3 linked regions of the Lepisosteus oculatus genome follow. The protein of the gene in region 3 purifies or fractionates together with the protein of the main gene of each other region. This does not show direct contact. Links are inferred from orthologs where the notes say so. Each region holds a gene or a part of one and is shown on either strand. Other genes may lie near its edges. The genes, in order: cyth3a, cep170aa and inavaa.

The links.
Region 1: the proteins of inavaa (region 3) and cyth3a purify together in Homo sapiens (co-immunoprecipitation; 3 studies listed by BioGRID and IntAct, counting the BioPlex papers as one, with this or other methods). This does not show direct contact. The link is inferred for Lepisosteus oculatus from reciprocal best matches to the Homo sapiens genes INAVA and CYTH3.
Region 2: the proteins of inavaa (region 3) and cep170aa purify together in Homo sapiens (co-immunoprecipitation; 3 studies listed by BioGRID and IntAct, counting the BioPlex papers as one, with this or other methods). This does not show direct contact. The link is inferred for Lepisosteus oculatus from reciprocal best matches to the Homo sapiens genes INAVA and CEP170.

Annotation. Positions count from the first base shown.
Region 1 is NC_090714.1:16,758,847-16,766,375, reverse strand, and holds the start of cyth3a (cytohesin-3), read right to left. Parts: upstream 3,043-7,529; 5' UTR 2,677-3,042; coding exon 2,658-2,676; intron 1,743-2,657; exon of another isoform or gene 1,516-1,742; intron 1-1,515. UniProt on the Homo sapiens protein: Promotes guanine-nucleotide exchange on ARF1 and ARF6. Promotes the activation of ARF factors through replacement of GDP with GTP. Plays a role in the epithelial polarization.
Region 2 is NC_090712.1:1,042,329-1,049,658, reverse strand, and holds the start of cep170aa (centrosomal protein of 170 kDa), read left to right. Parts: upstream 1-4,298; 5' UTR 4,299-4,503; intron 4,504-7,330. Other genes in the region: sdccag8 (serologically defined colon cancer antigen 8 homolog), read right to left, coding at 489-571, 2,538-2,660, 3,717-3,780.
Region 3 is NC_090700.1:30,670,373-30,678,205, reverse strand, and holds the start of inavaa (innate immunity activator protein), read left to right. Parts: upstream 1-4,768; 5' UTR 4,769-4,872; intron 4,873-7,833. UniProt on the Homo sapiens protein: Expressed in peripheral macrophages and intestinal myeloid-derived cells, is required for optimal PRR (pattern recognition receptor)-induced signaling, cytokine secretion, and bacterial clearance.

The sequences.
Region 1 (7,529 bases), on a different chromosome or scaffold from region 3:
CCACTGTCCTGCTGCACCCCGGATCCATCTTCCTGGCAGTAGGTCAGGAGGAGGAGGAGGAGGAGTGAACCAGCAGACAGCTCAGGTCTGCGAGCAGGGCGGACTCACGAGAGTCTCTGACCTCCAAGCTGGGGCTCTGCCTGGATCAGGCGGCACTGAGGGCTTCAGCCCTCCTGTGCTCCTTACAGACTGGCACCACAGCGTCGCCCTCGCGCTCGAGGGGGAGGTGCCTCAGGGACCTGGGCTGGTGCTGCCACGGTCCTACGCGTGGTTTCTCGCGGCAGTGCCCATCACAAGACCGAGGGCTCTCCCGCCCCTGGGGAGCCTCTTCCCAGAGCACAAAGAGCGCTCTGTGCCTTCACCCACCAGCAGGGGAGAACCAACCGCTCCTGCTGCAGGAGAGGGGACCAGTCCCAGCGGAGATCTTCAAGGAGGCGCTTCCATGAATCGCCCTGAGCGTCAAGCGGGCCGTGCAGAGGCAGCCTGGGCTCCTGGAAAACCTCTCCCTTCCAGGGCAGTCGAAGACTCCTCCTCCTGTGCCCCAGCCTCCCTTCGGGAAGTCAGCGTGACGAGCAGAGGCCCTGTCTCAGCACTGGGCTTCACTGCCAACCACTCGCTGAGAGCCCACTGGCCTCTGTCCTGGGCCCTGCTGACCTCCTGATTACAGTCGGCAGCTTCTTCAATCCTTTCAGGACAAGATGCCCAAAATGGCCCCTCAGCTCTGCACTCCTTTGATCACTTTTTCATCAAAGGTGTTGATGAAACACGTTCCCTTAAGCGCTCTTCCTAAGGCTCATATCTGTAAGCTAGGAGTTGCTGGTGCGGTCCCGGTGAGCTCGGACAGGCCGGACCTCCACACGGGCCCCTTCCTGAGCTCCAGCCCAAAGGTCAGGACTGTTGAGGAAGTGGATTGACCCGAGGCGGAGGAATGAAATGGGTTTTTTTGTCACGCTTTTTCTCCCCTTGTCGTTTTGAACGAATCCATGAAAAAGTGTCGCAAGTTAACTCTTACTAAAGCTCGGGCTCTTGATATGAAATTCTTACTGCGATAAACTCAGGACTTGGGGGGGGAACAAAATGTTAAAATGACAAAACCCGAGTTGCGAGAGTAACACGGCACGTGCCCGTGAATAACTGCTGTACACGTGAGCTAGCGGGGGGAACGGTATTATCACCCCATCGCCGGCAACAGCGGCCGGATTATCAGCCACAGAAACGAACTGCCGATCAGCGGGATCCTGCCCGTGAAATCGTGCTGGCGAGGCGCAGACCGGAGCGAGTCCTGCAGCTGCCTGCGCGTTCGCTTTGAACTGAGCTGAGAGACACGAGCGCTGCCTGACGGTGCCTCAGAAAGAAAGGGCTTGAGGGGGATTTGGGATCTGGGCTATAGCTACGGAATTGTGCACACCGCTCGCTCCACCTCCCCCCCCGCAAAGAGGCGAGGAGCACTGATGTCATATTCCTCCGCGCCATGCAACAGATACATTGCAACTACAGCACATCCATTCCTGTGCCACGCCAGCCCGTTCAATTATACTGTAGATCGCAGCCTTCAATTCAAACGCGTGCTACAGCTGCATTCCCGTCGACGCTCACGGAGCCTGGCGCAACAGGACTGACGCGTTCGCATCGATTTCATGCGCAGCGGGAGGTTTGCGTTGACGGTTCAGAGAGAATCCGTGTAGGATTCAGAGGAATGCGTCGTTCACGTCCTAAAAACGGGTCGGATATGCATCACACAGGTGAGGCTGCACATAGGTGGGGGGGAGTCCCCATTACCTGTAACACGCTTTGAGTGCTGTGTAGAACAGCACTATACAGGTATAAGGAATTTATTATTATTATTATGATTATGCATAAACGTATAAGAATAATTGCGGAGGTCTGGGCTAAGTGCAGACCCTTTACGGAGACAGCTGAATCTGTGTCCAGGGTGTTAGGGAACAGAACACCTTTTCATCACTGAAAGAACGGAGCTGGAGGGCTTTCTTCTTTCACTCCGGCTTCTCTCAGGATCCAAACCTCAAAACCGGAGCGGCGACACCACACTGGAGCGGCCCCACTGTGAATCCAAGAGCTGCCCCCGACCGCCCCCCACCGGGGGGGGTCTGCAGATGCAGATACCCGCCACTGGCTGGAAATCCAGATGTGCGGGGAGAAGGAGGGGCGCGAGACATGTTCCTCCCAGGAATGTAATTGAATTCAGATGTCAAACGTCATTTACGGGAAAAAAGCAGTTCTGTTCTCTTATCTGACGGTTACTTTCTGTGCAAGCTGTAGAGCATTTTAAAAGGACAACAGAGTATCCAATGATATCGGATATACGTACTTATATACTGTAGATAACAGAGGAGAGAGCCTATTAATAGTCTGTAAAACAAACGTTGTCCCGGTGCGCCCACTTCTATAACAAAATACGGTTGGAAAATAATCGTGAGTTAGCGATCAAGCGGTATTTGCGAGGAAAAACTTAATTTCAACAACCTACGACAGTCCTCCTTCAGAATGACAGCTACTGTTAGTTCAGAAAACAAACGAAGGGTTAAAATCATACACAGAGCTGCACTGTACTATAACACTTGAGAAATATCATAACACACCACACGCCAACAAGCTGCCGCACAGTGACAGACAACAAAACACCGCACATCGCTTACCCGAAATGTCTTCTTCCATGTCTATCGGGAAGGAGTACAAAGTCCACACAGAGGAGACAAAAACCTTCTTAAACCTCCCAGGACAGAAAATAATTCAGAGGAAAACAGCCGGATTCAATTGCGAAAAAAAGCAAGTACAGAATCAATCCTCTTAACGCCGGGCGGATGAGGGATTCTGCACACACACAGACACACAAAAATAATTTGTATGTATTGAAACTGGAGCGTATTCAACTAACACCAAACGTCCGGAAGCTGCGGGATCGCCTTAATCGGAGGTATAGATCCTAGATCGTTCAAGTAGTGTTTTAAATAATTGTGCAGCGGCGAGACGCAGGCGGAGCGCCGTGCAGGTCCACTATGTGTGAGCCGCCTCCACCGGCGCCGCTCCGCTTAGCGGCTACGTCACCGCCCGGCCCCGCCCCCGCCGCGGCCTGGCCCCCGGCACGTGACGCGCGGGGCCGCTCGTCTGCGAGACACCGGGGGCTGGTGTGTGTGGTGGTGATCCTACTGCGTTAAAAACTGACAGAATATTTGCATCACGGCATCGCACTTGATTATTGGACTCTAGGGGTTTGGTGAGACTGGAGGATGCAGTGTCACACAGGGAGAGAGATATTGACAGACGCCCGCCTTGTAATGACACGAGTATGGGGGTGTACGTTGTTATTCGGAGGTGTGCATCAGAAATTAAAATTCAAATACAGCCCGTTCCATTTACAGCAATAGGTATGAGTATTGACTGTATTAAACGTGACCAGTGCACGGGCGAAGGGTATTTTCAGTGCTGTGCCTCTCAAGTGAAATGTATACAAGTGGTTTGAATACGTTTTTTACATCAATTCCTAAGTCGTAATCAAACCGGTTAGTAGTGCCGAAAGGCACATCTGATTAACCTGTCTGATGATCGTAACATGTACGTCAAATGAAAAGCAAATATATTTATATCACAAACTGAAAGTAGAGGCATGGAGTTATTGCATATCATTATGACTATGATAAAAATTATCTGCTTTTTTTTTACCGGCGCACATTGTGAAGATTTGCATTTCTGCAAATTCTCTGGCGTTTCCCAAGATCTGTCGCTTTATATCAAGAAAGGCTGCAGTTTGTTTGCACAATTTATTCACACTCATGATTGTATTTATGTGGCCTTATGTGTTTAAATATCTTGAGTAATTTATGAGTCTAAAGGGCCAATATCCCCATCGAATACTTCACAGTTGGGTGGTTTTCTCTCACCTTTCCACATTTCTGCAATAGCAGAAATCTGTCTGTGGCCCCAGCTATCTCATCTTAATGACAATCCGACCAAGCAGTCAGGACCTAAAGTTTCAGATCTTTTCCAAACCGTGTCCCCAAGTCACCACCCTGGGGACATCAGCGCGGAAACCGTGCTCCAGAGGAACAGCGCCACCTGCTGGCTGCCCAGCACCACTGACACCACTGACAGCGGTGAGTGGTTCCCTGTCCTGAGCAGGCCCGGCCCGGCCCAGCCCAGCCGCACGGCTCCAGTGACACAGCTGCTCACCCTCCGGGGATCCGCAGCGGAAATACCCGTGATGGCACTGTCACGACGGGCCAGCCCAGTGGAGTGTACGAGCGAGGCCGCAGACGCCCCCTGGGCACGACGTGAATGCGGCACGCGACTGAGGAGCTCGACGTGTGTGGCTCTGCAGCCCACGGTGACGTTCAGCTGATTCAGACGCTGCCCCCCCCCGGCCGTTGGGTCTTCTTTCACCCTGCTAATGTCTTCAACCACGGGACGTTTCACGCCGGCGAGTCGGTTATTGACTTCCTCGGAGCGAAAGCCAACAGGGCCCTTTCAGCGACGGGGACCGCTGGGAGGATGAAGGGCCGCCATTCAGGGGCTGTGCTGTCCTCTGTCCTGGCTGGAATATAAAGCAGCAGATTCAAACGCCTGTATTGTCGGGGCCTGAAGTCTTTCGCTCCTGGCCAAGGCCGGTGAATTAGTCACTGCAGCTCGGCGGTGGCCTCTGGTTAACAGGAGCAGAATTAGCCCGTTCACAGGCCGACAGCTGGCATGAATGGAGAGAGAGAAAGAGCTGTGGCTCCAAAGAAAGGATCATTCATGCCCCTCGGGCTGTTTTGTAAATGGTCAAACCCGTCCCCTCGCCCGCTCCGGGGTCTAATTTACATTCTCTCTGAGAATGTGCCCTTTTCATCACGAGAGAGAGAGAGAAACAGGCAAGGTTTCATGTGCAGTAGTCTCATGTGGTCATTATTGTTATTAAATCACCAGAGTCTGCATTTGTTAGAAAAATCAGATTCATTCTGCGGCCTGCAATAAAATCAAGAGGCAGCGAAGGAGCACTGCAAATTCGTAGTCAGCCTCCAGGACAGCAGAAATTAAATGAACTCTGGCTGCCTTGCGAGATGGATGAACATCCAGTGAAACCTGAAATCGGTTCCTTCCTCTGCCCTTAGAGGGGAGACTGCTGTGCTAAACCGATTAGCACCCAAACACACTCCGCAGTCATTTTCACTAGAGTCGGTTGTCTGTGCTGTTCGTGCTTTCTCCCGGTTGGCATCGGAGACAGACCATCAGTGACAGCGTTAGAGCATTATTTCATTTTCCTCCTGGTTTTCCACTGTGATCTGTTAGCCTGTGCCACATGTTACAACAGGCAAACAGAGGAGGACAGAGCCGCTTTAGTTGAGAGACGATCTTTCGAGGGACCGGATGGCTCAGCTGACAGGCCTGAGCAGAGCTCAGGTCACCAGCCAACTGTGACCGGGGGTCACCATCGCAAATGGTGAGCAACACACCTCTCCTCCAATCAGAGCTGAGCATCCTGGGAGGGCGGGGGGGTGATGACGTGCCGAAAGACGATTGGCTCGAAGGGGGAAAGGGAGTGGTCTGCTTACACTTCCTCAATCTTCACGTGTGCGGGAGTGTGCGTGGGGTACGGAAATCAGAGCAGAGAACAGCAGCCAATGATCTGTTCCCAACAGGTAGACCAGCGTGAAAGTACGGCATTGCACTCCCACCTGGGAGACACACAGCGGCCATTCTGCCAAAGTAATGATAAAGTATCGTTAATTGTTGGGGTTTTTTAAAAAAAGATTTTGCTCCTTTGTACTTGTACATGTTACATCCAGGATGGCAGACGGCGACCAGAAAGGCGAAGAGGGGAGGGGTGTTTCTGTTCATACGAACTAGCCGGGACATTAAGTATTTTTAAAAGAGTGCCTTCGATCCAAGGAAAGCAGCATCAGTGCGTTCCACTTTCCGTCTCCCCATCTGTGTTCAGATCTGAGAGAAGAAACAGGCCAGAATCGCCAGGAACTCCCCAGGCACGGAGCAGCGGGGAATGTGTTCCGAGGCGGCTCAGCGGTGTCCTTCCAGGAATGGGACAGGGACAGCAGGGGGCTGGCCGGAGCAGTGAGCTCATACCTTCCAGCGAGGAGCGATCAGACAGCCGCTACCGGAGAGCGAGGGGAAGCTCCAGAGGGCCCTTCCCCTTTCCTGGGGAGAAGTGCTCTGCGTCATGCCCCGGGAGCCGGGCGCCCTTCTGAGAAAACCACAAGGTGCTCATTTAGAAACTGAGAGGAGACGGCATGCTCAGGAGAAACAAAACAAGTCTGTGCTCCCGGCTGGCTGGAGTCCCTGTGTCCAGGTGGGGCTGAATGGTGCACAGTCCAGATCCCCGCCCTGCGGTTTCAGAAAGAATAGGGGCTTTATGTACGACACCAGGGGGCACTTCTTTACCCAAAGGGTGGTGGGAGTGTGGAACATGGCTGAAGCTGAATGCCCTCCCCTCATGCTCCCAGACTGATGAACTGCAGTAGCTGGAGGGGGGGGGTTGTGCTCCTGAGTTTGCAGAGTAAAGAGCGGCAGAAGTCGGTTGGTCAGAATGCGCCTCTGCACTCGCTGAGGACGCCCTGTAGCACAGGGGTCTGCTGGCTGGGGGCGGCGGGGGTCCGCAGGGTCTCTGTGACGGAGCCTGAGTCAGGCTGCCCCCCCCCCCCCCCCCCCGGGGACGAGGCCTCTGACACAGAGCACGTACAGCAGCGGTCACCACAGTCACTGTCACTGTAATCCACCTTTCCAGGCTGTACATAAATAAACTCCCTCGGTCATATCCTTCCTGCTGGAGCGCCTCTGGCTCGCTGGCATGCCGTTTCAACCTCCCTCCTGCTCCGGGATACGGGGCAGCACAGTGACACACTGAACCCCCTGGTTTCTAGCTTTCTCTTTCATCTGCTCCTCAAGTTCAGGAGCTCGAGGGACGTTTGCCGTGAGCCAGACTCCAGCCCAGCGTCTCACACCCTTTTACCATTTCCAGGCCTAAAAATAGTCCTTCACTTACAGTTTACTGCTGCCAAGGAAACAGTGGTGCCAGTATTCGTGAAAAAAAGGTTTTAGCCTATTGATTCTTTGGCTGAGTAAAAAAGAAGTCCACATTTGTTAAGAAAGCATCAGGGCAGATAGTCAGCACTGTTTGGTTATGATGGGGGACATTCAGAGTTAATCCACTTCATCGTGGTACCTTAATAAAACCATTGCCTTGAATGTCATAGTGATCCTGCTAATTATGAATGACATAATTAAGGAACTGGTAGCGTCTTACAGAGTGGAGCAGACTGTTGTGTCACTTGAACTCCTATGGAGTGCTGTGGATGTAGTGAAGATCTCCCAGCCATGCTCTCTGGTGGCTGCGGCCGTGGTCTATAAACTGGATACAGCCCTGTTCTTGCTGCCCCGAACTACAGTCCATTCAGATACGTTTGGCTCAGCATCACATCCACTGCATGGCTCAGACTGTGAAAGCAACCTTTTGACACCCACTGGGATTACACCCAGTAATAGTTTTTCAACATGGTGTCAAAATTAGACCAAACACTTAC
Region 2 (7,330 bases), on a different chromosome or scaffold from region 3:
GTGCTTATTTCAGACATTTTACTTTGTGAGAAGCTGAAAGGATAAATAGAACTCTTTCTGATAATTTGCAGCATTTAAAATGTTTTAAGGAAAATACTCTTAATGTGAAAAGGTTAAAAATGAGTAAAACATTTTTAAAGAAGCAACAATTATTTCTGTGTCAATGTCTCATAATTCCCATTGTAAAAGTCACATTAGTTCATTGTTCAAATGTAAATGGTTTAAACTATGCAAATAATAACAGATAAAATATTAATTTTCCCACATAAATCATTAAAAAGCCGTAATATTGTCTCCAAAATTTCCTGGAGGGACTGATCAGCATGTGTTGGCGATCAGCACCGATATGAGAGCCCATTGGCAGGCAGGCTCTATTGCTGAGTGTGGCGAGTGGCCCATGACATTGCACAGTTGTACATTGGTCTGAACAGGCCGGCTCGCTTAACAAATCCGACTGCGAGGGCGGTTCGCAGTTATGCTCTCTGTACCTTGGGGGAAGACTTCTCCCTTGAAGGGGAGGAAGGTAAGGACTCCTTTTCTTGCTTGCGTAGCAGGGATCGTAGCTGATTGACTGCAAAACATAGAGAACTTTTCGTTAGCGTGATTATATTTTCATTCTGGTGCCGCCATATGCTACTTTTGTGAGAAACAGGCATTTCACATCGCGTGCATGTTGGTACCGATAATGGGCATGTATGGTAATGTATTTCCACACTTTCAAAGCATGCAAGAAAGGTTAGAGACAAGAGGGATCCAGTTGGGCAGCTCATTTGTTAGCTACAGCCAATTGCTCATTCATTTCATCAGAGAAGCCAGGTCAATAGCATTTACAACACGACTAAGTGACATCTTCCAGACCTCCACAGCCGTTCAGGTGAGGATGCGCCTCATGTTCTCAGTTCAGATTTTTTTTAAAAATCACTACTCAGAACATAAAGTCTTTCATTTCTACAGCAAACCTCTCTTTTCAAATCATGTTAAAGGCCTTGAAGTCATCACATAAGAAAAATACATTTCAGTAAGATATCAGTTTCAACATATTATCATACATTGAGACACAGGAGTTTACACACACTCCCGTTGCTCTGCTACAACACAGAGAGAGCACGGAGAACATCCATGGCCTCAAACAGCTGTGGAAACAGTGATCACGAAGCCACAGCAATGGGATCACTGGCACCAAGTTTCGCATGGGCAGTGACCGTTCTCCAGAGGCAGCCATCAAACACTCAAGGACTCTGGGATGGCAGGAATCGATGCAGAATTCACCTCTGGCCACCGAATTCCACGGCAGCCACAGAAAATTACTACCTGCATGCAGGTTTGCTGCAGCATCAGTGAAGCACCTGTAGACAAACTTGACTGGCCACATAAAATGGGCCACAGATGAGATACCATTTGTCTCATCTCATGTCCTGCTACTACACCTCCTTGTAGCTTATACTTTTCAAGGCCAGCAGCCATATCACCCTGCAACTCACAATTGGCAACCCACTGAAGCTAAGGAGGTGTGAGCCTGGTCAGTACCTGGATGGGAGACCTCCTGGGAAAAACTAAGGTTGCTGCTGGAAGAGGTGTTAGTGGGGCCAGCAGGGGGCGCTCACCCTGTGGTCCATGTGGGTCCTAATGCCCCAGTATAGTGACGGGGACACTGTAAACAAGCACTGTCTTTCGGATGAGACGTAAAACTGAGATCCTAACTCTCTGTGGTCATTAAAAATCCCAGGGTGTTTCTTGAAAAGAGTAGGGGTGTTACCCCGGTGTCCTGGTCTAATTTCCCATTGACCCTTAACAATCATGGCCTCCTAATAATCCCCATCTATGAACAGGCTTCATTACTCTGCTCTCCTCCCCACTGATAGCTGATGTGTGGTGAACGTTCTGGCACACTATCATCCAGGTGGATGCTGCACATTGGTGGTGGTGCAGTTGAGTCCCCATTACATGTAAAGCGCTTTGATTTGAGTGTCCAGAAAAGCGCTATATAAGTGTAAGCAATTATTATAATAATTATAAGATCGGTGCAGTAACTCTTAACAGCATTGTCCAATGCAATCCCTCTCTCCAAACCCTGATGGTGGCATCCTACCAGCAGCTGTTAGTGTGCTGAGCTCAAGCAACGCAACACTGAGGACAACACACTCCTGCACTGAATGAAAGCCGACAACTTTCAAGGTCTGTATCCTGCTGTAAAACACGACAGGGAACACGACTGTACCTGAACGGTTCTAGCAACACCTGCAGATAACATAATGCAATTTTCCAGGACGCCACTAACTTCTTAAGATATTGAAAACAGTTTGAAACTTGCTCTTCAAATGGGAGACTGAAAACATGAGATTTTAAAGAGCTACAAGACTGGCTTTTCATTCAGCAGGGTTCAACTAAGTATCTGAGAGCCCAGTGAAAAGCAGAAAACAGAAGGAATTGGGGTTCTTCAGGCCCGCAGCTGTGAAGTGAGGAGCTGACCTCGTGTTTTCTCAGACCTGGGGTTTGTCGGGCGTGCGCGGTGTCAGACCGGCGGGCGCGGGCCGTACCTGCGGCGCTGTGCTGCAGCTGGTGCCAGCTGTCCCGGGACCCCGCCTGCTCCGCGCCTCGTCCCGCCGGGCTCCTGGGCCCCAGCATGCTCCGCAGCTGCCGGGCGCTCCTGCTGGCTCGGTCTGTGGAGGAACAAGCCGGGTGAGTGACACCGCAGCGAGCCTGTCTGCCCCTCCCGTGAAGACCCGGGTGGGCAGGGGCCGGCATGCGAGCTCAGCGAGAAGCCCTCTCCTCCGGAGGAAACAGGAATCACAGCAGGACGGCCGCACGGTCTCAACAGCACGGTTCTAAACACTGACAGCAACACAGCAACGGCAAGAAACCTTGCACAATTAAAGACTGTGTTGAAATTGTTTTTTCCCCCCACATTGTTTATATAAAGACCTGACAGTCTCCTGCAGCCAACAGGGGTTAATATGACTATTTATGTCCTTACAACAGATTCATAAATAAATGACCCTATTGCATAGGTTTATATGGAAAACCGGAACATTTCTATAAAAACCTAACAGTCACCTACTGTACAATATATAACGTATTGAATTAAGGGATGCTTTCGTCCAGGGAAATACATTTTATTCTATCATTGTATTAGGATTAATGTAAAGAAGCGTACATTTCAAATTATTTAGAAAAAAAAAACATTTTGATGCTATCTATATCGAAAAAGATTTTTCATTTTTATCCAGTAAGAAAAGGCCTTGCTTGCATTTCCCCGGGGTTTGGCTGCAAAGCCTTTCCAAAGGGATACTCTTCCACTCCTTGAGGAAGGAGCGTGTTCCTGACAGCCCAATCGATCCGCTGTATAGGTGCATGTCTACACCGCGAACCCATAAATATTTATATCTGCTGAGTCGCATTGATCTGCCGAAGAGCACGTAAATTATAGAAAGCAGAGACTATAATTGAAGAATATTTAATAAAGTGTAATAAAGTATTTTATCGCTGCATTAAATCAAAAAAACTCAACTACACCATACGTTTATCGTATCACTGTATTACGTTACCATACAAAGTAGCAAAGAGGCTAAGCGATATAATTGTAAAAAAGTGTAGATGTTGCCGGTAAACGTCAACTGGTATGCAAGCCGTGTAACTGTATTTTCAGTTTACAGACACCATTATAAGCATCCCTGTACATCTGGTCATTAGAATCGAGCTGTTCCTCTCCTGGTCACCTCTCAGAGCCTGTTGGTATTGCTCCAGCTCCCCGTCATCCTCGGACTCCACAGTGGGCTTCATGGATTATACAGACCGGCTGGGGGGCACGAAATTCAAGGGCAGACTTCACACCCGCACTCGCGTTCCCGAGCAGAAGCTCTATTTTATTTACCCCAAATTTTTAACCGAAGAGCCTCAAGCACAGCCAATCGGTGACGCGCCTGCCACTTCCTCAAACTGGTCCCAGGTTTCCTTGGGAATGGTAGTGCTCTTCGGGCGTCAGCCTAACGTCCTCAGGCGGAGAATAGGAAACGCAGAAACTACAACTCCCAGAGTTCCGCCGCGCGTTGCCAGGGAGGCCGCCGCCATGCTGCCCCTAGCTACTGAGCATTCCGTCGGCTTGCCAAAAAGGCGACCCCTCCTCTGCCTTGCTCTTTTCACGATTTCCATAGGTCCCGGCTCACGTCAATCCCCCGGAGTCCTGCCTACTCCTCCGCTCTCAGCGGCGCTGATTGGCCAGAAGCACCCTCAGGTTGCGACGTCCGTCCCCGTTCGTGCCAGCGATTGGTCCGTGCGGACGCCCGTCGGCGTGGAGGCCGCGCCCAGAGGGTCGGGCTGGAGCTGCAGGCGCCTGCGGGCTCCGGCGCCGTTATGCGAGGAGCGGCAGCGTTATTGCTGAGCAACCGAGACAAATAGGCGAGCAGCCACATACAGGGGCTGGGCTAGTCTCTGTGTGAGCGCATTGTGTATATACGGCTATAGTGGAGTGGACACACGTATACACTCACAACAGTCCAGAAAAGGGTAAGTAGGAGACTTGGCTTCTTATTTCTTGTAAGGATGCGTCGTTAGTTTAACGCTGGTCGGGTTGGCGAGAACAGGGCTAATAATAAAGCACAATGCACTTGAATACTGAAACGCTTTTCTCCGTCTCCATGTCTGTGGAGCTCGCAGCGGTACAGTCTGGCCGGGACCCCCCGGCAAGCGGCTCTGCCACACGGGCGGGGGGACCGGGGAGTCTTCTGTCTGCTCGGGGCCGTCCGGTTAGTCCGGTTCTTTCCAGAAACGCGTCCCCGGTGCAGGGGGTGTTCCTGCGCGGCGGTGACACCTCGGCTCTGCTGGGTGAGGGTGAGGGGGGGCGCGGTTAGCCGTCCTCGTGAAGGCGATGGAAGAGAGGCAGGGGCGGATAGGGGTCCCCCCCCCCCCCTCCCCTCCTCCATGTGCGAGAACCCCCCGGTCTGTCGGGGTGCGGGGAGCTCGGGCGAGGGGGCGCTGGGAGGATGTTGCCGGGGTGCACGGCCGCACGAGGCTGCGGGATGAAGGAATGAGCCATTTCCTGCCTGCTCCCAGACGGGCTGAGTCCTGAAGATGTCGGGGGGGCCGGGAGCGCAGAAAATGGATCCATCTCTTTCAAACGTGCAGCAAAACAGTGGAGAATGTAACGGGAACAGAGACTGGGTCCCGCCAATCCGCTGTCAGTTTTTGTCCTGACTGCCCCCCCCCGCACACACACACCCCACTCCCAACATCTGTGGCGCGGATGGCTGCAGACCGACGTTGTTTTTTTTTTTAATTGTTTGCCGACGTTTCATCTGGTTGGCACAGTACATAATATTTCCGAGGCAGTGAAACGGCGGTTTTGAGGGAGTGACCCTTTTTCGGGGAACCCCCCCTCCCCCGCGCACCCCCGAATAAACGGGCTTTTCCAGGGGACCGTTACTCCAGTCCCGACCCGGTTGGGCGTTCACAGATTTGGTCTGTGCTCTGGGTGTGAACGAACATGCCCTGTGTATAATGTGCATGGGCGCTGTTGGTTTTGCGGGGTAGCGGGGTACCCCGGTTTCTGTTAGTGTGGCACCAGCAGGCCCGGCTCTGTGCCGGATGGACGGCGTGGCTCTGCTGTGTGGTGCGGGGCCGCCGAGAGTCCCTCACCCCCACGGAGCTGACACTGGGGTATCGGCTGTCAGAGGTGCGATATCAGCCGATGTCGGAGAGATCCCCTTGCGTTTATCGCTGAAGTGACAGTGGAGTAATCACAGCCAGTGTGTGTGGAAGTCCTGGGTTTGTGCCAGTGCACGTCACAGCCCGCCTCTTCCTCCTCCTCCTCAGTATTTATTTAAGAGAGACGGGATCCGTTACCAGCCCTGGGCCTATCAGATGGAGGACATCCTCCATATCCTGACTGGGAGCTCTCTGTCAGGCCAGGAGACACGCAGCGCCGCTTCAGAAGGTGTTAACTACAAGCTGCACAAACTCAAATGTTTTTAATAATGACATTGTTGTGGCGGAGAGTTGGTTTCTGAGTGCAGACATCCCTGTTCTACACTGATTAACGTCCTTGGGTTATAGCCACAAAAGTCTTTTTTTTTCCATGGCATGTGTATCTCCAGGACAGGACAGAGCTGTGTGTGATGTTCAGAAAAGATTTCTTTTTTTTTTTTTGATGTTTCTCATAAGCATTGCTCGTCTGACAGATCGATTATGTCCATCTGCTAAACAACTTGGCCGTGTGGCCAAGGTTTTTGTTTTATTCCAGTTTTAAACGTATCTCCGGTCGCTCTCCCCTTGCCAGGGAGGTGAGGGTGAACCTGAACACTGGTAAAGGTGTGGTGTGTTGCCACTGGTGTGCAGGCGGAAGCTGGCCTGGGTGTATTTTGAGTGCTGTGGAGCTGCAGAAAACATGGGGCTGCTGAGGTGAAAATGCTCCTCCTGGGCTGTCAAATGGTCTCGCAGCTCTGCCGTATCCTCTTAGATGGAGTCGTCTTCCAGCCTGGTGGTTTTGCAGTGACAGAGGAGGCAAAAAGACCATCTGAACACGAGAGGTTTTTTTTCTTGCCGTGAGAGGTTCTGTGGGTCTCGCTCGGCGTGGCAGCGAGAGGCCAGGAAGAGACCAGCGCCGGCCTCCCTGCTGGACGTCCCGTTTGAAGGAAGCGCAGACCTGGGCTAATGGAGCCGGAATGAGGAGAGCTGACTCCAGCTCTTCCTGCTCGGTCAGTCCAATCCATCATCCTCACAGCTGCTCGATTCGGGATTCTATCGCAGAGGTGAACCGAGCCTTCTCTGCGACTGCAGTCACTCAGTGTGACTCTCAGGTAGCCGCAGTGTGTGAAAGCTGTGAAACGGAGCCGTGCAGTGTGCTGCACAAACTGTCCCTCGCCCATGGGCTCGTTGTGTTCTTGCCAACCTCTCCTGCTCTGGCCGCGCGGCCGTGCTCTGCTCTTTCACGGGTGAGACCCGCGCAGCCTGGGGCGCTGGAGCTGGGCAGCAGCGGGCCGGCGAGCCCCGTCTCAAGCGGCAGGAAGTGGGCGGAGATAAGACGGGCTCCTCGGGTCTGGCGCCCTCACATCAACACCGTTTAAAAAGGAAACCTTGAGGCGAAAATAAGACCTCAGAGGAATCCCGATTACACACAGAAATATCTCTGATCAGCCCAACACTTGAAGATTCTTAATAAGTAAGCTGCTGTATGTAATCCTGTGGGTCTCTGTAACTGACTGGAAGGAAACGGACTGTAACATTACATGATCATCCAAATGTATGTATTACATAGTATATAACATAGTGTATACTGGTTGTGCAGTAACTCTTTGCAAGGTGTATTGAATTTTGGGCATCTCTGTTTTGTCTGATT
Region 3 (7,833 bases):
TAATAATAATAATAATAATAATAATAATAATAATAATAATAATAATTGCTTATGCTTATAAAGCGTTTTTCTGGACACTCTACTCAAAGTGCTTTAGAAGTAATGGGGACTCCCACCACCAACGTGCTGCCCCAAAAGAGCACACATTTCACCTGCTGGATGCCTGCAGTTATTTTAAAAACATGGTCTTCACGTGCACCTCTAACAGATGCAAACTACAAGCATATAAAATCTCCATTAAAAGAAAGCCACTTATTCCTGGTAATATCGTGACAAACCAGTGCTTATGGCACAATACAGGACTACACACTGGCCAGGATGCCAGTCCATGACTGGGATCACACACAACTGAAAGCCCTGTGGCTATTCTAGCCAGCAGGGCTCTGGAAGGAAACCAAAGCACCCGGAGAAACAAAACACACCAGTGAGAACGTGCAAACTTCACACAGAAGGCACCCCAGTCTGACAGTTTGAAATCAAGACTAGGAGCAGCTTTAAGACAGCAGTACTATCTGCTAGACAACCAAAAACCTATAAAATACTCAAGAATTCTGTGAGATCTTTCCTTGTTCTTCACCAGAATGTACTTTTGCAGAAACAAGGTAGAACTTTCTTGTTAACATTTATTTGTTAAAATGTACAGCCTTATTAATGACTGTATTAGTCATTATTAAGGCCTATTAGACTGTATTAGTCATTATTAAGGCCCTCACACCTGAAGAAGGCTCCACGGCCGAAACGTTGTGTTCTCTTTCTTCCTTTTTTCAGCATGGAATAAACCTATTACTTGTTCCTTTGCATTATTAAGGCCTAATCTGGAACAGCATACATAAATGAAAATGCATGTTTTAATTCCATTGTCATGCTCTGGGAACTGTTTACCAGGATACTTATGGCACTTATAAATGAGTATATGAGGTGTAATGTTTCATGACCTCCTGTGTCCTCATTTCAAGTGACCAATTTGGAGTTTCCAGTTTGCCAGAGTGATTTGATATTTGTTCTACAAATGACTGCTGCTGCAACAGTTCAGAAACATTGTTTTTTCTAAAAACATACATCTTTCACTGGCTAAAGACCAAGTGCTTAGGGCAGCAGCTTTTGAAACACAGTTAATAAAACTTTAGTGCTTTATCAATGTGAAAGATTTCTGCAGTCTTGCAATTACTTGCTAAGCACTGCTTTAAGCTACCAGGGACAATGTTTATTTGTTACACAAAATACTGATTTTCACATATTAGTCACAGATTACAGACTGTTCAAAGCAATTGAAAAAGGTGGGGGTTTAAAGTATGCATTATTGCTTCAGCTGAGTATTGACCTATCTATTGACCACCTTCTGACAGAACACCACACAGCGGCATTTGCTACAGACAATTCCCTAAAAGCAATTGTGTAGTTTTAAGTATAGCTCAGTTTAAAGGAAAAAGAAATGAAAAAATAGATATTCTTACCTTTTGCTGAATGCTGGAACCTGTGGACTTTTAAGGAGCTATGTCAACGACAGAAAGAGTGCCAGGTAGACTATTTCCTTTGCTGTGGGCAACCCATGTCTGAGCTGAACGCCTGCACAAGAAGATGTCTCATTCAAGGACTTGGTTAACCACGACACTGATGCACCAGCGATAAAGAAACCTTTCCCACGCTGCCTCTGTTCTTCCAACCCCAGGCCACATCATGGCTTCTGTGTCTCGCCCTGAAGAAGTGCTCAAGTCCAATTGTATGAAAGCAGCACAGTATGTCTGGAAACAAAGGTTACAAAGCATCACACCTTGACACAGCCAATTGTTCTTCACCTGTATGAAGAAAAAAGAGGTTTGAAAAAAGGATGTCCCTGTGTTAATATTTCCAGGCTTTAACAAGACCTCCAGCAGTTCTTAATGGTGCTATTTTCAGCTCTAGCTAATTCAACAACTATTACTTTGGAGCTGTTATGGTATCTGTGTTATGAAATTTCATGGAAGGAGGATATCAATATCAAATGAGTACCAAGTATTCTGCGTCTATTTTGCACTTATCTAAAACAGTGTTGAAAGGTGTTAATGGGAGGTCTAAATAGCAGATGACCCAGCTTTACTTGGTTATTCAATAGGCTTTTTAAATGCACTTGACAAGCTTTAAGGTTAGTATTTTGAGAAGTTTGTTTTCAGCATATGGATATAACTTATCTTCAGATAACAGCAGGGCTAGATAAAAGTTTTTTGATAAAAGAAAATGTTTAACTGTTTAATGGAACACCAGAACTCACAGTGGGGTGTGTGATTGAATAATTAACTAGCTCTGCAAGGCCGTACAATAACACAACACACTACTACACACTAAAACAACATACTCCTTGTAACAGTGAAAAGGCTAAGCTACCTGTGGTCTGTAAGGACAGGTAGTCTGTATCGCAATACAGAATTGAACGTACATGTAGGACATCTGTTGGACTGTTGTTTGGGTCAATCTAAAGCACACTCACACACAATCACCATTTAAAAACAATAATTATCTTACAAACTTGTCTGCCCGGTGCTGTACCTGCACATAGGACCCATTAGCTATAACACATCTGTGTACTTGTAAATCACCTTTGCCTGAATCTGCTACGCAAAAATAAGACATAAGCAACCAACAGTTCCACCATTCTTCATGGTTTTGAGAGTAACACTCAAAACAAGAGCACAGGCTCATGAAAGTTAGATGTAAGGCTGGAGGAACTCACAGTGCATGCACCAAGCACCAGAGGAGAATCCAAAGAATGAATTCAGAGAGAAGTGAGCATCCAGAATCTGGGCAACAAACAGTGAGAACTTGGAATGCAGCAAACTCAGAATAAACTGTATGACAGAGTACCTGAGCACTGCTGGATCACAGCTTGTGTAGCTTGAACCACCTGAGGCGGGTATGGTAGGTGATCTCCAGGTGGCACAATACTCCTGTAGAATTAGTTACCATGGTAACTGAGTGACATGTGTGAATACGACCTCACCCCCCAACCGCTTGCAAGTGAGTAGGGCAACTGGACAACTGCTACAGAGTCCCATTCCCAATGTCTCTTTAAACACTTCTCTGAACTCATATTTCTTTAATATGGGCTTCTCTTCTTCAGGTGTCAGCTGTCAGTGACCAACTTGTTTCATCCTATATTGTTTTCCTATGCTCTGAAGTCATCATGTTTTACAAATATCCTCCAGACATCTTGCAAGATGGTGACAGTGGCAGGAGTACCTGGAGCCGCGCGCCCCATGTCCTGTAGCTCTCCTCAGAAGACGCTGTGTCTGTTTGCTCCTGCCTAAATCACCCTGCAGGCTGCTGGTGAGGAGTGTGTGGAGCCATTCCACTTGACTGAATGTCAGAATTAACTTGCCTGCTGCTGACTGTGTTACGCCCCCTCCTTCCCCCCCACCCCAGCCTCCAACTTACACCCACTCAGCACTCCCAGTCCCACAGGCCTTTCAAATGGAAATGAGCCGCCGTTTAATTAGCTGCTCCCTTCCCTCCCACACAAGGCAGGGGAAGAAAAGAGGCCATCTGCTGGGGTGTGGACACCAGGCGCCCCATTCAGTGCAGCAGAGAGTGGAGCATGGTTTGAGTTTGGTGGAGAGGGATCACAGCGATCCTGCTGTCTCCGGGTCACAGAGTTCTGCTGGGCCTCTGCTATAAATTCTACAGTATATCTGCAGGAATGCGCGTGAGTTTCAGGCTGAGCATACTTCCCCGTCGCTACTGGGAGTCCCTCACTCAAACAAATCCCATCATCCCCAGCTCCTGGAAGAACACCTTCAGGTGCTCAGGTTCTGGTACACTGGTGGGATACCTGTAGGAGTGGTGCATAAAGATGTATGGATTGATGCCTTTTATGTAATGGTATTTATATTTTTAATGTAATGTTTGTATGTAAGTCTCTCTGTGTGCAGAACATAGGTACGTGGACGCAAAACAAATATGTGAGAAATAAGAACAAGTATTACCCGCCACACAGCAGGTCAGGTGGAGAAGGGAGAGATTCGGAAATCACACACCTGAAGAAGGCTGCTGTTCGGCGTGGTGGAATTAATCTTTACTTGTTTCTCACGCAGCTCCCCCACTCAAAACTAGTTAATGGATAATACAAACGAAGCCATATAACTTAGAATTTTTGAAACGGTAAATAAAAGCATGTCGCGATAATAGACATTTTTAAAAGCGTAAGCACATATCGAGCGTGTTGTGAAACTGGGGGGGGGGGGGCTTATTTAATGTTCTCTGCAGAGAAGTGATTGATGCGCGGTTTGACGTTGTCCTGGGGTTCGGAATGGGAGGGGGTCGGCGTGAAGACACCAATTCATCCCTTTTACACTACTAACCAGCCAGCTGTCTCGCACACTTGCTTTGTGCAGACAGCTTTTTTTCCCTCTTTCGCGCTATTCTTTTTTTTGAAAACCTTCACAATAACCACCCGCGGTACACCCGTGTGCTGCTTGAAAGAGCACATTGAACCCCAGAACAAAACTGTTGGAGCGGGATGACGGGAATCCCAAAACAGGATGGGGAAGTCGGTTGAATTTTCTTTGTGAAAGCCCATAACGTTAATGCATTGAAAATAAAAAGATTATCCCTACAAAACACACAAGTGAGATCGTGATACACTGTAATACTGTGTTTGAACAACCTTCGCCCTGACTCATTTAATAGCGATCTCTCCACCATGCCGTTACCCCCCATCTGCTTTGGCTCATGGTATAACCCTGAGACAGATGTCCCACTCCAAAACATTTGAGATGCTCAGCAAATACCGCAAAGTGGAAAACGTGGGTGCGTGTAGGGGCTTGTTGTCCTGGTATGGATACAGGAAGATCTTCTCAGCGATCTCAGAATCCCTGGGACTGCTAAAGAAAACAGGAAAAGGTAAAACATTTGCATTTATCCCTGAAACTAAGAGAATAAGACCTAAGAAAATCAAGTCGGTTAGAAGATTTCACTTGCAATTTTTAATTACAATAAGGGAAAAATCCGATTTCTGTCATGTGCTTTAAAAGTCTAAAGATGATCAGGAATGCGCAGTGCTGTTAATACCATTTTGTAACTCGTCTTAGGGGCCAAGGTGTAAGGCTTATAGAGATGATTTTGTCCCTAGTTTGGAAGTTAAAAGTTAATATTGAGTTAATGGGGTACGAGCATCAGTGCGCACAGAATTCGTGCTGGTCGCCGCAGATGCGCTTCAGTCATCTTGTCAAATTAGCTTGATGTGGTCGGAGAGACGACTGCCTGTGGAGGTGTTTGTATTTAGGCAGGAGATTTTACATTTCTCCACGGGTGAGAGGAGACAGGCATTTTTCCCTCTTTTTCTCGGGGTGGGGTCAGTCGGTTTCATTTGTTTAACAACTGCAAGTCATTTCTACATGAGAAGAATAGGGGAATACCTTTTCACGGACGGGGAGGCTCGTCCGTTCCAGATTCCAAATTCAGAAAAGTTTGATTTGCGTGGTTTACATGAAAACGGGATTCTAAGGCTTTGAATTGACGGTATTTAAGATCAAGTGTGAAACAAGATTAAGATGAAGTGAAAAAATGCGTTACATGCTAAACGTAAACAAATACAAATACAGCATAAAATGCAGTGTTACAGCTGTAACCTTTGTCTACTGTCTGAGCCCAAGGGATGCCCCTGTACAGAGTTGTTACTTTGTGTCTCTCAGAGCGTCATTGCAATTTAACTGGTCTGTAGTGCTAGAAACGATTAGAACCCCCCCCAAAAAAATAGTGGCTTCCCATCTGAAGTAATTGATTTCAGAGATTCTTTATCCCTCAAAGTCTGGTGTCAGACTTCTTTGTTGGGAGAGGTGGTTGTTAGCAATGTAATTTCAAGGGCGGATCGAAATACAAAGAGGTAAAAAGCAGCTGTAAGTTTCTCTCAGGCTGCCTCATGGACTTTTGTAAGTATTTCAGATCAGCCGCGTCCAGCACTGTGACCCACCTTTACTTAACCGTTGTTTGCTTTAGAGATTGAACGGCTCATCCTCGACATGCTCGATTTTTCCATGATGAAGTTTATATAGGTTTTCAGTCTTTTCCGTAATTTGGATTTTTTACATATATCGGCACTGTGTTGAAAATAATTATCGGTTCCCTTATGCATGGTTACTGCTGTAGAAGTTTTGCTCCTTTGACAGGGCTTTCCTATACGTGTTCCGCAAACTTTTACTACGGTGAAGCAACCAAATGGTTAGAAATTGTAGTTACTGTAGCCCCTTGCAGTATTACTGTGCTCTAGTAGCTAAGGAATTAAAGCTAAAAACAGACTTGCACAGATCTGATAACAAGACCAAGACAAGAGATAAGCTTCACACACTGATACCGTGAATGGAGAGTTTTCAAAGGCTTGAGCTGGGGAATTTAATTTTGAGGTTTGTTTGTACTTTTCAAGTCGGCCCACAAAGGCCTCCTTGTTTCAGAGGAGGAAGACAAATCCCCCTGGAAAACAGCTGCAGTCATGACTTCTTTTTGTCCCGCAATCCGGGACCTTGTCTTCAAATCGCAACAAATGTGAGAGCTTGTAACCTGTGTGCCAATGCGACCATACATGCGTCCTAATGGAGTGTGCTGCATCTTCTACGTGCGCTGACCAGACCTGACATTAGGTTGACCTTGAAAAAATATACTGTGAATTATTTACGCTGTGTTTCTGCTGTATGCTCTTAGTTTTGCCATGAACTTATTATACTCCAGTTTCTTTTTCTGCTTTTGCTGTGGTTCATCACAGTGGACTTGCAAAACTGCAGTCAACAACGGGATGTCTTATACAGTACTTGTGAACTGTTGAACACTGTGCTCTGGCTCCACAAGCCTGGAAGGAATTCCGGAATTAGAATTCCATGATTGCATTAGAAGCAAAAGCTTTGCCATCTCCCAGTTTACATGTCCATGACCACCAGCCTGGCAGCTGGTGTTGATTCTTGATGGGCATCTGTCATGCTTTGCCCTTCGAAGTCCGTTCAGCAAATAACTTTATGGAATAGGTCCGCAGGGCAGCTGATCTTCTAAGCATAGATAAAAAAATGGAGAACAATCCCATGTATCCAAGTAAGGTGGTGTGTGTTAGTGTATCCCACATGCAGTTTGGTAAGTACTGGAGGAAAAAGAGATAATAATAATAATAATTGCTTACACTTATATAGTGCTTTGCTGGACACTCCACTCAAAGCGCTTTACAGGTAATGGGGACTCCCCTCCACCACCACCAATATGCAGCCCCACCTGGATGATGCGACGGCAGCCATAGTGCGCCAGAACGCTCACCACACATCACCTATCAGTGGGGAGGAGAGTAGAGTAATGAAGCCAATTCAGAGATGGGGATTATTAGGAGGCCATGATTGGTAAGGGCCGGTGTGAAATTTGGCCAGGATGCCAGGGTTACACCCCTACTCTTTTCAAGAAACTGGGATTTTTTTTAATGACCACAGAGAGTCAGGACCTCAGTTTTATGTCTCATCCGAAGGACGGCACCTGTTTACAGTATAGTGTCCCTGTCGCTATACTGGGGCATTAGGACCCACGTGGACCACAGGGTGAGCGCCCCCTGCTGGCCCCACTAACACCCCTTCCAGCAGCAACCTTAGTTTTTCCCAGGAGGTCTCCCATCCAGGTACTGACCAGGCTCACACCTGCTGAGCTTCAGTGGGCTGCCAGTTGTGAGCTGCAGGGTGATATGGCTGCTGGAGTAATGTAGTTGCCACAATTAGCTGTTCTGGTTTCCAGCAGCGATAGTTTTTGACTGCTGGTAAAGTTTTCGCTGGAGTATATAAGTAAGGGAGCAAGCGTGCCAAAACACAAAGAGCCCAGTTGTTGGCAGGTGGCTGTAAGGTC